Linked DNA regions of Arabidopsis thaliana. The protein of the gene in region 3 interacts with the protein of the main gene of each other region in a pairwise test. Each region holds a gene or a part of one and is shown on either strand. Other genes may lie near its edges.

Region 1 (4,221 bases), on a different chromosome or scaffold from region 3:
AGCTAGTGGAGAAACGTTTTCTTTATATATGGATACAAAGCATCAATGGTCACGACCTTACTTGAACTATAGGCTCGTACATCTGTTTTCTTGAGAAAATTTCTCAAGAGACAGGCCCTAAACCCTTGTTGATGAACCGTGACCGTGCGGCTTGAGCGTGATTGACGGCTACGATTGTCCTTGGATGCATCCGGTGCTGTAGAGGATGGTTACTCGGCTCGGTTCTCCCTTGCCGGGGTGGTCGCACGGCGGTCTGACAGGTTTCATTTTTTTTCCTTTTCACCCTGAAACTTTTAATTTCTTCTATTTTTCACCCGCTAATTTTATATTACTCTCCATCTGGTCCTTTTTAAAATTTCGACGTTCAAGTTTAATTTTAGAGGCTGAGAATATCTTCCATAACGCTTGGGACAAAGAAACTCTTAATTTTTGGTTGTGTGTTAAGTATTGTCACCTCAATTGATGTCAGTTTATTTGTTTGTATATCAGTTTTGAGGTTTCTGTTTTTATTTTGGTTCCTCAAAATAGGATTTAAAAAGCAATTTTGACAAAAAAATTATCATTCATAAAAGTATACTTTTACATTAAATCAGGCCAAAACTGATCTATTGGTCATCTCTCTGTTCTTCTTTTATACATTTCAGTGTCATAAATCTAATAGGCCAGACATATGGACAAGCTGAAAAAAGGTCATAAAAGGACTGCTTCTGAATCCTGAATCAACGGTATTCAAAAGACTTACCTCTTTAAGTATATCTGTGAAGAGATATAAACATTTTGGCTTCAGCAATCATCAACTACTACCCCCTATCATTGTTTGTTGTTGCTTGAGTCTCTGATTCCACAGGTGCAGCGACTGAGGAGTTGATCCGGTTTGATTTTCCGGAAGCTCTCTCATCAGATTTACTACCCCAGCAATGCTTTGCGAGATGTCCTTTCCTCCCACAGTTGTCACAGACGATGATGACTCTCTCGTCTCTCTCAGGTTCTTTCCTCTTCCAACCTACGCTCTGAGATCCTCTATGTGTTGTTCCTAGACTCGGTGTCCTTTCCATCTGAGAGGAGCCTGTGGCTGGTCTATATGTAACCCCTTTTGCTCCATTTCTGAGAAGCTCTTCCTCAGCTTTTACTCGTTCCATCAACATCCAGACTGGTAAATACTCCTCTTCCATTAACCTGGTGCAGAAGCCTCTCCAAGACGGGGGAAACTTGGAGATGATGGTACTCACATGAAATGCCTCATCAAGAAACATACCAGCACTCACTATGGAATCCGCAATCTTGTTAAAGACTTGGACTTGCTCGAGTATCGGTCTCTCTTCCACCATTCTGAATTCAATGTACTTTCTGACTTGTGACCTCTTCGATTTGGATTCATCACACTGGTAGACCCATTTTAACTCGTCCCACAATTCTTTGGCATGCTTAAATTTCTGAGAGTATCGACGGTATAGATGATCTGACAAGGAGTTCATCAAGTGAGTATAGCACAGGTAATCATCTCTCAACCATTTTTTCCCCGTAGCATCAGCTCGAGTTATTTCCCTGGGGTTGGTTTCAGGGCCTTGAGAGCTACCAATACTGGGACAAGGTTCAGAGAGTACATAAGTCAGCTTCAATTGCTTCAGAAAGAGTTCCATCTGTGAAGCCCAGTAAAGATAACTCTTTCCATCAAATCGTGAAATCTTGATAACAGAAAAACCGTGAGAGCTGTCCTTATCCACAGCCTCAGAAGTATCTCCATTTCGTGCTGCTTCAGATCTGCATAACGTTTAATAGCAAGATAAGCAGCCTACATTGCTAGCCAGACAGTAATGCCCTATGCCACGATGATTATATGACCATAAAACACTAAAAGCAATGCCAGGGAACATGAATCTTTATAGACTTAAAATAAGGTACACATTCTTACTTTAGTTTTGATTGGCACTGCTTAATACCGTCCTCTATCGCTGCAAAATTCTTCTTGATTACAGACCATTGGTTAGTTGACAAATGTGCTCCTGACAGAGAAGAAACATCTAACAATTGAAATCAACAGGAGCATATCTAAAACAAAAATGGCTACTTATAGCTTCATAGTCAAGACCAAGACACCAAGTTGTGTTTCAAATTACCTCTAAAAGCCTTTCCATGTTCCTGAGAACCAATCGATAGAAAAGGTTGGCCTCTGTATCTTTGAACCGTCGCATTTTGCTTCTCCGATAACTACAGTTAAAGACCAACAATTTCTACAGTGACCACTGAAAAACTCAAAATCGAGATGATCACAATCTCTACTCTATACAGTGAATCAAACATAGAACAAATAGGCAAAGTCGCAACCTTACAAATAAAGCGCTCATCTTCACCACCAACGGAAGCGGCAGCAACAGAAACTGTCTCATTTTTCGCCGGAGCCACCGTCTCCGGTACGAGTGCTTCACCGGGAGTCGATAGCAAAAAGACCTCAAGAACATCTCTGACTAGCTTCTTGTGATTGGTTCCCGATAAGTCGATACCGAGTTTAGCCGAAGCGTCAAGTCGGAGTTTGAACTCCGTCATTTGGTCCATATCAGATTCACTGAGTATGCTCTTCACTGTTTCCTCGATTTTTTGTGTAGCGACAATCTCCATAGTTTCACCAGAATCAAGCAACGAATTCTCCATTTCGCCCGAAAAAGAAGAAAAAAAAGGATAAAGAAAAAGATTTCGCAGTAGCGTCGAGTTTTGGTTGTTGGCCGGCGTTATATTTAGGGTTCATAAATCGCCGGGGGAAAAAATTTGGCCGGAGTGTGAAAAAAAGAGGTTCTACCGAGAATTGAACTCGGGTTACTGGATTCAGAGTCCAATGTCCTAACCGCTAGACCATAGAACCTTTTTGCTATAGCTGTTGCATTTAATACTTTATATATGCAAATATATATATATGAGTTTTTTTTCCTTATCTATATATCTTTTCTGTTTTATAATACGATATATGAATACATGGGTGAGATACGAATACGATTGAGAAATATATGGGTGAAATACAGTTTTTCTTCACGAAGCCGATAAGATACTAAGAGTCGAATCCTTCTAGAAACTAAACCGACAGAAAGCAAATTATTTTTGAAAATTAAGCTCAAACAAAAGAGGCTAAATATAAAGATAGCAAGGTAATAGTCATTAACATTTGTTGTGAATAATCTAGTTTGGGCTAATGTTAATCTTGTTTTACTTGTCTTCTCACTGCATTGCAGCTTAAGAAATTAGTATTGCATGCTGCGAGCTCAGACTCAGCCAGAGGGCTAACCCAACAGATTTTGATGCCTAAAACATCTTTAAGCTCATTTAAAATTCTTAAGCATTTTAAATCTATTTATAATTAAAGTCTCAAAAAAACGAAGGTAAGGTTCGAACTGTCCACGAAAGAGTCACTAATCTATGAAACAATCACTAGACTACGAAACATTTTTAAAATTTGATGCCCTTTAATATTATCTATAATTTTAGGCGCGTAAAGCATGAGTTTCACCAACTTTAGCCCAGGGCCGGCCCTGCTCAGCCATAAGAGAAGCAAAAGATGTAATGCAAAACTCCAATACGCAGTAATGATAACAAAAAAAAGTTTGTTCGTTAAAGCTTATCAATGCTTACAAAACATCAAAACCAACTTGACATGTGATGGCAGTAACAAAATCGAGAAGGCGATGCTAAAAGTAACTTCATAAACTAGATTGATCAAAAGTACTCATAGCTTCGGAATCAACATAAGACACCAAATATGTTCAAGTCACCTTTAAAAGCAAGTTAATAGCCAACAAACAATGTGCATTTCACATTTCGCTTCTCCAATAACTAATGCCTAACAATTTACAGAAAACATCACTTCTTTCCTCGACAATCCATTGTATTATTTTCGTGAAATGTCATCATAGAAGAAGCACTTAAAATGAAAATTGGGTTGGCCCATGAATTTGAATTCTCTAACCCAAGACCAAAACCCATAAAAGTTATTTACGACCATCGAACCACTTTTTTTTTTTTTTTTTTAACGGCAAACATTTTTCTATTAATTAGCCCAAATGGGCTTCATAAACAGGTACAACTTGAGGCCAAAAGCCCACTAATTGCAAACATTAAATAGACAATATGATGACACATGTATGCAATGTGGAGATTGCAGCGTAGATCAACGTTTCAGCACATGCCCCGTCACTGCTTCGCCGGAGAAATCTTCCGCCGGTCAGCAAATGATTC
Region 2 (5,127 bases), on a different chromosome or scaffold from region 3:
CTATGAACTTTTTGAGAAACAGGATTATAATTAAGATAAAAGAATTAAAAAAGTGTGAAGGAATTAAAATTTTAATTTCAATGAAAATAAGGGGCCAAGTTGAAATATATAGAATATACAAAAAAGAAATTGTACAACTATTTTCCTTTTGTATGAAAATAAATTAGTTTTTTCTTTTAGCAAAAAATTAGTTCATGTATTTGCATTGCATCAACTAAAATAGTTATATTAAAAAAAGGATTTTTGTGTAGCTGTGATATTTGGAATAGAAAATCCAGAATAATAATATCGAAAATTGTTTGCTTTATCCCCCTTTCTTTTGTAGAAATTCTCATATGATTAGTGGATGATTCGGTCCAAGTACTATCATTTAAGGATCTGTGTAGTATTAAAATCTCGAAATCTCTATTCGTTATTAACTTTGTCGGTGAAGGGGTTGATATATAATAAACCGAAGACTTTTTGTGTGAAAAGAATCATGTAATAACGGTACTTATTCATTTTGTACTTATACTAAAATAAATACCGATTATGTTGGTGGTAGACTTCTAAATTTTAATTAGCTTTTTAAAAAGACCCTTAATTTTTAATAAAATTGATGGAAAGAGGAATAGTTACTTTCTATCTTCGGTAAAATTCAGGACCCAAGAAGGTCGAGGCACGTGCCCCATGATAGACTTGTCATGTGATGTGACCTATTTTCTTTGTCCAACAATTTTTTAAAACAAATTGTCATAGGCTAGAAGTCGTCAAAAGTTAATAAGCAAAAAACGCAATATTTCAAAAATAAAAAATTTAACAAGAATGAATGACACAAACCTAATCGTCTTGACATTTTATCTCATATATCAATAATGCTCAATCGAGTGTAAATACTTTTTTTACATAGTAAAAGGCGAATAAGAGAGCAGATCATGTAGCAATTATTTTCACTATTATTGTTATTGTGTTGTTGACTTTGATTTTTAGTTTTTAATAGCAGGGTACAAATTTGTACCTTCAATTATGTCACCAACGAGTGTTTGAGATAAGATTAGACAATAGTAAACACAAAATTGATGTAAGCTATTTAACATGTTTATTGAACTGTAAATAATTATATCTGTTTTAATATATTTTTTAACTATTTTTTTTCTTAATTGATATTTTATTGTATTAACACTCCTTCTTATTAACTTTGCAAAATAAACTGTCATCTTGTAAATTATTACCAAATCTTAACACTATTATTATTGACTTTAGAATCTAAGATATACCTAAATAATTTCTTAAGGCCAAAAAAAAAATTATCATCTTTTTATTTAAGTTAATCTAAGATATAAACATTAAGAGAAAGTTGCAAAATTAAAGAAAAAATATCTATCTTTACCTGGATACAAAACTTATACTTTTGGATAATTCATATGAAAGTCTCTCTTCTAATGTAGTAAAAACTTCTACATTTCACAGCTAAAAACTGAAACCCAAATTTAAAATTTCGTGTATAGTACCGAGGAAAAAAAGTATTTGCAAGCAAAATCTAGAGCAGAAAAATTTAAAGATCTTTTGCTTCACATGACTCTATTGTTTTTTTCTTACCTCTATTTTTTCAAGTCTGCAGCTTTTTGAAGCTATATTTTTCAGATCTTTCACTCTCTCTCTAGCTACTTCTTTTTGTCTTTAAGTTTTCAAATTTTATTAAATTTTTATATTCTACTGCCTCCTCAGCTTCTCTCACAAAGCACAAATCCAAGCCCCAAATCAAATCCCACCATTGTTTTATTACCTCAATCCAAGAACACTAGACACAACAAAAATCTCTGTTTCTTATCCAAATTTCTGATCTTTGTGGAGAACAATATTTTGATTGGATGTGAGACAAATGGGTTGTTTACATTCCAAAACTGCTAATCTTCCTTCTTCTGATGATCCATCAGCTCCAAACAAACCAGAATCAGGTAATAATACTAATCTCTTAGATTCTAAAAAACTCACATTTTGTTTGCTCACTTAGTAAATCTGCAGTTTTTCGTCTGTTCTTGTTATGGGTTTGCTTTAATTTGTGGGGTTAGGGTTTGTGAAAGGCTTAAAGCAGAGAAAAAGTTATAAAGTCTCTTCCTTTTTGGAATTAAACTCTTGTTTAGATTGATTTGCCTTTTCGGGGTATGTTTTGTTATGTGGTTACAGTAAATGGGGACCAAGTGGATCAGGAAATCCAAAATTTCAAAGAATTTGAACTAAATGAGTTGAGGAAAGCTACCAATGGGTTTAGTCCTAGCTGCATTGTCTCTGAAGGTGGAGAGAAAGCTCCTAATGTCGTTTACAGAGGGAAGCTTGAAGGGAATCATCTTGTAGCTATCAAGCGATTCTCTAGGCAATCTTGGCCTGATGCTCAACAGTTTGTGGTAAGATATCTGAGAAAAGGTCAATGCATGATTTGTTGTTCATTGATTCATTGTCTGATTTTAGACCCTGGGTGATTCTGTTGGACTATCTCTTAGGCAAACCGCATCAATGACTAGTCCAAGGAATGGTGATTTAGGTGTAGTTTTTAGTTACAGAAGAAGAACAAGGCATCATTTTTCGATAAAAGAATAAGCGTCCCTGAGTTTGGTTACCACTGAATTGTAGAAAAGTCGATAACTTCGGGTTTAAAGCTGCTTTTAAATCTTAGGATACGACTAATGTCTTGACTGTATATCTTGACTGCTTTTAAATAGGAGCTTTGTCCTGGTGTTGACCTTGTTTGACTTGTGAAATCAGGTGGAAGCGACTGGTGTTGGGAAGCTTAGAAACAAGAGAATAGTTAGTTTGATCGGTTGCTGTGCTGAAGGAGATGAGAGGTTGTTGGTGGCAGAGTATATGCCCAATGATACTCTCTCAAAGCATCTCTTCCACTGTAATAGTCTTATCTTTCTCTCGTTATAAGCTTGGTTTAAAGTCTTCTTTAGATGATTTACTCTCTTCTTTCTGTGTTTGTTTGCATTGTTTGCAGGGGAAAAGCAGCCACTTCCATGGGATATGCGTGTTCGAATCGCAGACTATATTGCAGAAGCACTTGATTACTGCAATATTGAGAACCGAAAAATCTATCATGACCTCAATGCATACAGAATCCTCTTCGACGAGGAAGGTGATCCTCGTCTATCTACTTTTGGTCTTATGAAGAACAGTAGAGATGGCAAAAGCTATAGCACAAACTTAGCTTATACTCCACCTGAGTTTTTACGGACAGGTAAAATTCTTGATCTTGTGAATCGTAGTCGAAGACAAACCAATTCATTATTGAAGATTAAAGTTCTCTGGTTTTTCTTTTGCAGGTAGAGTCATTCCTGAAAGTGTGATATTCAGTTATGGAACTATTCTTTTAGATCTTTTAAGCGGCAAACACATTCCACCTAGCCATGTATGTGCTTCCAATGTTCTAATTTCCTTCATTTTATCTTACTTTTTTGTCAATTGCCGAGGATTTTATTTGTGGTCTTCTTATCTGAATTGGTGGTGATGTTTCATATCAGGCCCTTGATATCATAAGAGGGAAAAATGCTTTGCTTCTTATGGATTCATCTCTTGAAGGGCAATATGCGAATGATGATGCGACTAAATTAGTTGATCTTGCTTCAAAATGCCTTCAATCAGAGGCAAAGGATCGACCAGATACCAAATTTCTTCTCTCTGCAGTAGCACCACTACAAAAGCAAGAAGAGGTTTAAAAGAATCCCTCCTGAAACCGACCATATCATGAATTTCATATCCAAATTTGTTTATCCTGGATTTGATTTTGTTGCTTAGGTTGCTTCTCATGTCTTAATGGGCTTACCAAAGAACACAGTAATATTACCAACTATGCTTTCTCCTCTTGGAAAGGCCTGTGCAAAGATGGACCTTGCGACATTTCACGACATTTTGCTTAAAACCGGTTACAGAGATGAAGAAGGTGCAGAAAATGAGCTTTCATTTCAAGAATGGACACAACAAGTGCAGGAGATGCTTAACACAAAAAAGTTCGGGGACATTGCTTTCAGAGACAAGGATTTCAAGAACTCAATTGAATACTACTCCAAGGTGAGAGGAAATAGCAACAAATCCATAATTCTCGGTGTTCGAAAAGAATTTCTAACCTCTGTATCTATGGTTTCCAGTTGGTGGGGATGATGCCGGTTCCTTCTGCAACAGTTTTCGCTAGACGGGCTTTCTCCTACTTAATGACAGACCAACAGGAGCTTGCACTGAGAGATGCAATGCAGGCACAGGTGTGCATACCAGAATGGCCAACAGCTTTTTACTTGCAGGCTTTAGCGCTCTCAAAGCTCGGAATGGAGACTGATGCTCAAGATATGCTCAACGATGGCGCTGCATATGATGCTAAGCGACAGAATAGCTGGCGCTGCTAAGCTATTAGAGGAAGTCCCAAATATTTATGGGTCTTTTCAGACTGTAACTGAAAGGTGTGTATGCATGTAAGAGAGAGATGGAATGTGTTGTTTACTTTTGTGAAATGAGAGCTTCTTTTTTTGCATGAATCTTTATGAAAAGTCAAATCTTTTGGGGAAAGAGAGAATAAGACTGCAAATAACTAATTTGATTCCTTCTTCCTTATGGTAATACAAAAAGATGGAAAATTCAATATGCTATTACAATTATAAACAACTTTACTGGGAAAAATAATGTTGCTTTTTAGTTTAGGATAACAGATGATGATACTTCATGCTTGAGAAGTAACTAAAGGTGGAAACTTTGATTCCAACCATGACACCAAATCCTCCTTTGTAGCCACAAAGATACCTGGCCTATCGCTCTGTCTAAATGGTGCAGAGAGTTGTTGCAAATGCAAGGCGAAAGAGTTTGCTAATCCCTGTGAGAATCTGTGAGTTCCTGTCCCAGTTTGCGCCAAAAACAGCTCAGGAAGTTCCTCTTGGCGTTTAATGATGTTGGCAAGTGTTCTCATCCACTCTTCGAGAGCGGTCTCAGCTGCACCAACTGATAATGACCTCACATCTAGGCTCCATTCTTTTATGGTCTTGTTGTGTAGTCCCGGGTATAGACCAAAAAGTGTTCCTAAGTAGAGAAGCTCATGAGCTCTCTCATGCCGGTTGTTGCCTCTGCATATATCTATCAAACAGTTGCAGAAGGGCCTTCTTGCCTCTA
Region 3 (6,895 bases):
TCTCTGATTTTTGAATAGAACCTTGAAATTGTTATGTTTATTTGTTCTTCAAAGCTTGATATAATAACAATAGTCGCTGAACGCATCAGATCAGCCACTCAAAATGTTCGACTGTGAACCTTCTCTTGACTTGCAATCTAACGGCATTGAAGGCTTTGTTGTACTCATGGCTATTGCATTGAGAATGAGATAAATAAAGAACAACATTGAGACTCAGTGCAGACTGGAAGGAGCAAATTGATAGACCTCTAAATGAAGAGCTCAATGAGAAAGCTCCTGAGTTGGTGCTGAGCTGGATAGACAAGTGTTTTAATGTATAGAGTCGTAATCCAGTCTAAATACAAAGTAGCTGTGGGAAGTAGAAGGTTAAAGGTTGTTGTAAAGGGAACACATTCTACTTTCTCGGGACTTTTCTTTGGTCAATCAAGAATTGGTGCTTGTTTCTATCAGTAACTGAACAAAACCAGAGAGTATGAGTTTGATCTTTACCAAACGCAACAAGGCATACAAAGGCAAATCCATAGTAATGACAAAAGATATCTAAGAAATAATAAGATAAGTAATACATTTGCTTAACAACAAAGAACAATATAGTTCTTAGCCAAAAAACATAAAAAAACAATGAACAATATAGTTGAGAACAATGTGATAGACCAAAATCTTATGTATTCATTCATCAAAAGAGAACAGTTTATATTGGAATTCTAAACGTTTTGCCTACTATTGAAGGTTTCACAAGAAACAAAACAAACCAAAGACTAGAAAACAAAGTGTAATTCAATAGTCTACGTTAACATGACGTGTTTTCGCACCGAAGACAATAATATATAAACTGTGATGACAGAATATGGAGTCATGGACTATGTAAGGCTAAACTAGATTATGGAGTCATGGACGAATGAAGAGTTTTTAATTTCGTGAATTTCATAAATAATGTGAGCCTCGTAATACCACTAGTTGTAGACAGCGGTTCTTTGGTGGTCGATATTGCATGGATTATGCGGTCCACTCCACGATCTAATTATTACAACTATATACATATATTTATATATCATGCACTATATTTGTATTTTACAATCTTAAAACCATAACATATCAAAACACTTTGATTAGTAACTTTTGTAATTTTATAAGCTTCTTGTGATTTTTATGTGATAAAACATAAACGACACCAATTCGTTTTTTTTTGTTTTCATACATATTTTCTATAATATCTGTCAGGATCTAATAATTAATATACTGCTCTAAAAGTATATATCATATCAATTGTCTCCAAGTTTTGGTGAAACACCTCAAACTCAAGTTAATAAGACTATTTTGGTTGTATTCATGTTTTTTTTTTGGCTATGTTCCATTCTGCTTACTTCTTAAAACAATGTAGTGTCCAATAACAGCATAAACCTGATAAGAATAATAATTATGCGTGTAGAATTTTGGTGAAACACGTCAAACTTATTTAACAAAACATATATGTTTCATTTTTTTTTGGTTAATTTTTTCCCAATTTTTTTATTTTGAAATAAATTTTCGGATAGTGACATATAACCTTATGTAGTCTGTCAATTGTCATATTTTTCTATTTCCATCATCCTATATACTTTACCTTTGTTAAAACTCCTTAGATAAGAACTTCCAATATTTTCCTTACCTATATTTTAATTTCCAGTTTTATATATTTAGTACTTAAAAAATTCAAATGGAAAATATGTTTGACTCTAATTAGACACATATAATATATATTTCCAAATAGTAAATTACAAATTGAGAAACTCATGAACAATAGTGCATCCACGTCGTTATCCAAGTTGGATTTCTTTCTAAAACAAATAATTAGACCTTTAAAAAAAAATATAAATAGGTACTTGTTAAAAAGTAGGAGAGCCCACAAATAAGGCTTTGGCCGCTTCTGCTTGGACTCTCCAACAAAAATCAAACTCTTTAAAAAAACAAACAAATTGAAGAGCGATTATACGATCACGGAGAACTCAAGATCCGGTGACGAATCCAACTTCTTGTGACGGAGCTCAAGTCGAGAGAGAGAAGACTGTACTAGTAGTAGTAGCTGTGGATTTTTGTGTCATCATCGGAGATCGGAATCTTCTTCTTCTTCTTCTTCTTGGAGCTTCTAGAAGTGGAGAGAAGGGGGAAGATCAAGCGACGGATAGTGATAGGTTTTGCTGTATGTCAGTGGATTGTGTTGAAACTGATTTTGGTGGATTTGGAGAACTTGTGAACCCTATTCAATGGCCTCAGCTTCGAAAAAGACGTCGGCATGTCCTCACCACGGTGGCTCTCTTCCGCCTCCCAAACTCGTCTCCGCTGCTCCCGATACCGTTGCTGTATGGTCCGACGCTGACGATCAGCGAGCCTCTAAAGTTTCTTTGGAATCCGTTATCCGCCCTGTCGATTCGTTTCCTGATAATACTGCCAAGAAACCTGCCAACAAAGGTTTGATTTGATCGTTGATCGTCCTTCATTCTTCTGATGTTAGCTCGCGATTCGTTTGAATTACTTGACTTCTTGTTTACTGGAATTTGTTGATGATGGTTACTTTTTGTGAAATTGGTTCTTGTCTACTTGATGGCTTCTGATTGAGATCTAATTGTGATCACTATTGTGGTTTCTGTGAAGTTGATTTTCTGTTGTGATCACCAATGCAGGGATTTCTGTGATGCCAAGGACTGAAACCAAGCACCCATTGGATCCTCTTTCTGCTGCAGAAATATCAGTTGCTGTGGCGACTGTTCGCGCAGCTGGTGCCAATCCTGAGGTGCGCAAACTTACTTGATTCTTGACAAATGCAGAATGCTTGATAACATTGTCACTGAAACTGTTTTACTTTTTCTTTGGCAGGTTAGGGATGGCATGCGTTTCATTGAGGTGGCATCAGTGGAACCAGATAAACAAGTTGTGGCGCTCGCTGATGCTTACTTTTTCCCACCGTTCCAGCCATCACTACTTCCAAGAACTAAATCTGGACCTGTGATTCCGATGAAGCTCCCTCCAAGGCGAGCTAGACTTGTTGTTTACAACCAAAAGTCTAATGAGACAAGTGTATGGATTGTGGCATTGTCTGAAGTTCATGCTGTCACTCGGGGTGGACATCACAGGGGAAGAGTTGTTTCCTCACAAGTTATACCTGATGTTCAGCCACCCATGGTATGTTAAACTATGTTTTAAGGAATTGGATCTCTAAGTGACTTTTAGATGCTACCGTTGTTTGCCAGTCTCTAAGTTTAGATTCTTTTGATTTTAGGATGCGGCTGAATATGCTGAATGTGAAGCGATTGTCAAAGACTTCCCACCATTCATAGAGGCAATGAAGAGGAGAGGTATTGAAGACATGGATCTAGTGATGGTTGATCCCTGGTATGTTAACAACATCATCGTTTCTGTTGACAATTAAGGTGTACTTCTTCTCTGAGCCTACCTCTTAATGTATTGTGCAGGTGTGTGGGTTATCACAGTGAGGCTGACGCTCCTAGTCGTAGGCTTGCAAAGCCCCTTATATACTGTCGGACTGATAGTGATTCCCCTATGGAAAATGGATATGCTCGTCCAGTTGAGGGCATTTATGTACTTGTAGACATGCAAAACATGGTGGTGATTGAATTTGAAGACCGTAAGTTTGTGCCACTCCCCCCACCTGACCCTTTGAGGAATTATACCCCAGGTGAAAGTAGAGGGGGTGTTGATAGAAGTGATGTTAAGCCTCTCCAGATTATTCAGCCTGAAGGTCCAAGTTTTCGTGTAAGGGGTTACTTTGTCGAGTGGCAGAAGGTAGATTTCCAGTAATAGCCTACTTGAAACCAAGTGATTATGCTTAAGCTTATTTCTAAATTGGCTCAACATTTTGTTTACAGTGGAACTTTCGTATTGGATTCACTCCAAGGGAAGGTTTAGTCATACATTCGGTAGCATATGTTGATGGCAGTCGAGGTCGAAGGCCTGTTGCACACAGGCTAAGTTTTGTGGAAATGGTTGTGCCTTATGGCGATCCTAATGAGCCACATTACAGGAAAAATGCTTTTGATGCAGGGGAGGATGGTCTCGGGAAAAACGCACATTCGCTTAAGAAGGTTTGACATCAGTTTTTTTTTTGGTGTTCTTACCACTCAGATCTCAGTTTGTGTTTAACAATCGGTTTTTATAGGGGTGTGACTGTCTGGGATCTATCAAGTACTTCGATGCCCATTTCACAAATTTCACTGGAGGAGTTGAAACAATTGAGAACTGTGTTTGCTTGCATGAAGAAGATCATGGGATTTTGTGGAAACATCAGGACTGGAGAACAGGATTAGCCGAAGTGCGAAGATCTAGGAGACTAACTGTCTCTTTTCTATGTACTGTTGCCAACTACGAGTATGGGTTTTACTGGCACTTCTACCAGGTTAGTGGAATACGTGATTCTTCATTTCTTGAGTAAAGCAGATATTAGTCATATTTGCATCTAATTTCTATAGGGAAGACAAATGATGTGTCTCCGCATGAGAATAAATCCTGAGTTTAGTGGCACTTTGCTTGTGATTTTTCACTTGAGGACATTGATTTACAGTGCTGAATCCGAGTTTCATTTGTTTTCTGATTTGTAGTTTCATCTTTCTAGATATTTGAAGACCAATATCATTTTATGTCTTGAATGTCTTACTGTAGGATGGGAAAATCGAAGCTGAAGTAAAACTTACTGGTATCCTCAGTTTAGGAGCTCTGCAGCCAGGTGAAACTCGAAAGTACGGTACTACTATTGCTCCTGGGTTGTATGCACCAGTCCATCAACATTTCTTTATCGCTCGCATGGATATGTCTGTTGACTGTAAACCTGCTGAAGCTTTTAATCAGGTACCTTTTTATGATGCTGCTCTTCTTCTTGTTATTTACTTACATATGCGGATTATTTTCTCAGTATTTAGGAATGGCATTGGTAGCATATGAATTTTAGAAGTCCCTATAGTTCTTGAAAAAAAATCTTAGATACATGTTGTCAGCTGGTTTTGCTCAATAGTCAGCTTAATCCACTTTTATCTGTAGGTAGTTGAGGTAAATGTTAGAGTTGACGAGCGAGGTGAGAACAATGTCCACAACAATGCGTTTTATGCGGAAGAGAAGTTACTTAAATCTGAGGCAGTGGCGATGCGTGACTGTGACCCTCTTTCTGCTCGCCATTGGATTGTAAGCAAAAACCGTACCTTGCATGTTCTCGTCCATTTATTGCATGTTTAACTTTCACATTGTCAGTGCTCGTACCCGTCTCTGTAATATCCTTGTTTATATTTCTTTCATCCTTGACTATCTACTAGTCTCATCCTTGAGACTGGATTTGGGATAAGAGATCACCTGAGCATCCCTAAGTTTCAGTCATGTGTTTATATAGTCTCATACTTGAGTTCCTTTACCAAAAAATCATCTCAGAGTTTCATTGAATATGATTTGTAGCTGAAGTATAGATGGTATACTCACGCAAGATGTATATTCAACACAAATCATTGTAATGTGTTATCAGGTAAGGAACACAAGGACTGTAAACAGGACGGGCCAATTAACGGGATACAAACTTGTTCCGGGTTCAAATTGTTTGCCATTAGCTCGACCCGAGGCGAAGTTTCTAAGAAGAGCCGCTTTCCTGAAGCATAATCTCTGGGTTACCCGTTACGCCCCAGACGAGAAGTTTCCTGGAGGAGAATTCCCAAACCAAAACCCACGGGCTGGTGAAGGTCTTGCCACATGGGTGAAACAGAATCGCTCCTTGGAAGAATCTGACGTCGTTCTTTGGTCTGTATCCTTGTTTTACTTATCTGATTCAGTTAAAAACTACTACTTACCAAATTATGTGACTTTCAATGTGGAATTTTCATTTGTCACCAGGTACGTGTTTGGGATCACACATGTTCCTAGACTTGAAGATTGGCCGGTTATGCCCGTCGAACATATTGGTTTCACACTAATGGTAAGTTAAATCTTTGACTGTAACTTTCAATGGAAAAAAAACCTTACAAAGGATTGGTTAAAAAATGTTTTGGGTTTTGGGTAAAATACAGCCACATGGATTTTTCAACTGCTCACCGGCAGTAGATGTGCCACCGAATCCATGCGAATTGGAGACTAAGGAGAGTGAAGTCAAAGAGGTTGTAGCACCGAAAGCTCTTCAGACTGGTTTACTTTCAAAGCTTTGAAGAATATGAATATCATTTGTTTTCTTTCTTTGATCTCTTAAAAAATTGGAGGCGTTGCTGTTGGTTAAGAACAATTTCATATTTGAATCTTTTATTTTCGTGTTTGGTGTGTGTGTTTGCAAGACTAAAAAGACCTTTGTCATTGGAATATTTCTATTAAAATTTCATATTTGAATCTTTTATTTTCGTGTTTGGTGTGTGTGTTCTTCTATGAATTGCATTAGTTTCATACTTTGGAAAAGAGAAGCAAATAAATATAAACATTGGAAGAGAGGAGCAACATCTCTACTATTTTCATTTTATAAGCCAATCAGAGCGCTCCATGTCATACCCCATTCTCACCTTTTACGTGATTTCACACCCACTCTCACTAATCGCGTGTTGAGGGCGTGTCTACGTTTTCTGAGGGTTCTAACCCACCAAATGGCTTGTTTTGAAACACACTCGCTCTTTTTTAAAAAAGCCTCGAGTGCGTGATTTCAGTGTTTTTCTCCTTTAATTCCAATTCAAACCCAACCGAAATCAATTGAATTTTTCAAAACCATGTAAATCGAACCGAAATTAAAAACACAAACGACAAACTAGCAATTGTCACTTCCACAATTGATCCAACTCCGACGAACCAGATTGATAATTTTGATTCGATTCCACACAGATAACATATAGTCCAAACCAAATGCAATTCATATAGCCTAAAAATCTTAGCTAAAACCCAAAGAAAAACA

The links. The genes of interacting proteins can lie anywhere in the genome.
Region 1: the proteins of AT2G42490 (region 3) and AT4G00980 interact in a two-hybrid assay, tested with the Arabidopsis thaliana proteins (one large-scale study listed by BioGRID).
Region 2: the proteins of AT2G42490 (region 3) and BSK2 interact in a two-hybrid assay, tested with the Arabidopsis thaliana proteins (one large-scale study listed by BioGRID).

Annotation. Positions count from the first base shown.
Region 1 is NC_003075.7:421,932-426,152, forward strand, and holds AT4G00980 (zinc knuckle (CCHC-type) family protein), read right to left. Parts: upstream 2,658-4,221; 5' UTR 2,650-2,657; coding exon 2,326-2,649; intron 2,209-2,325; coding exon 2,118-2,208; intron 2,004-2,117; coding exon 1,913-2,003; intron 1,762-1,912; coding exon 801-1,761; 3' UTR 547-800; downstream 1-546.
Region 2 is NC_003076.8:18,892,826-18,897,952, forward strand, and holds BSK2 (BR-signaling kinase 2), read left to right. Parts: upstream 1-1,552; 5' UTR 1,553-1,861; coding exon 1,862-1,937; intron 1,938-2,166; coding exon 2,167-2,384; intron 2,385-2,742; coding exon 2,743-2,878; intron 2,879-2,974; coding exon 2,975-3,214; intron 3,215-3,299; coding exon 3,300-3,385; intron 3,386-3,497; coding exon 3,498-3,686; intron 3,687-3,771; coding exon 3,772-4,044; intron 4,045-4,121; coding exon 4,122-4,373; 3' UTR 4,374-4,581; downstream 4,582-5,127. Other genes in the region: AT5G46580 (pentatricopeptide (PPR) repeat-containing protein), read right to left, coding at 4,685-5,127. UniProt on the Arabidopsis thaliana protein: Probable serine/threonine kinase that acts as a positive regulator of brassinosteroid (BR) signaling downstream of the receptor kinase BRI1. Mediates signal transduction from BRI1 by functioning as substrate of BRI1.
Region 3 is NC_003071.7:17,690,875-17,697,769, reverse strand, and holds AT2G42490 (Copper amine oxidase family protein), read left to right. Parts: upstream 1-1,746; 5' UTR 1,747-2,243; coding exon 2,244-2,448; intron 2,449-2,660; coding exon 2,661-2,770; intron 2,771-2,853; coding exon 2,854-3,159; intron 3,160-3,256; coding exon 3,257-3,369; intron 3,370-3,449; coding exon 3,450-3,780; intron 3,781-3,863; coding exon 3,864-4,079; intron 4,080-4,153; coding exon 4,154-4,390; intron 4,391-4,653; coding exon 4,654-4,839; intron 4,840-5,028; coding exon 5,029-5,169; intron 5,170-5,500; coding exon 5,501-5,769; intron 5,770-5,862; coding exon 5,863-5,944; intron 5,945-6,035; coding exon 6,036-6,170; 3' UTR 6,171-6,363; downstream 6,364-6,895.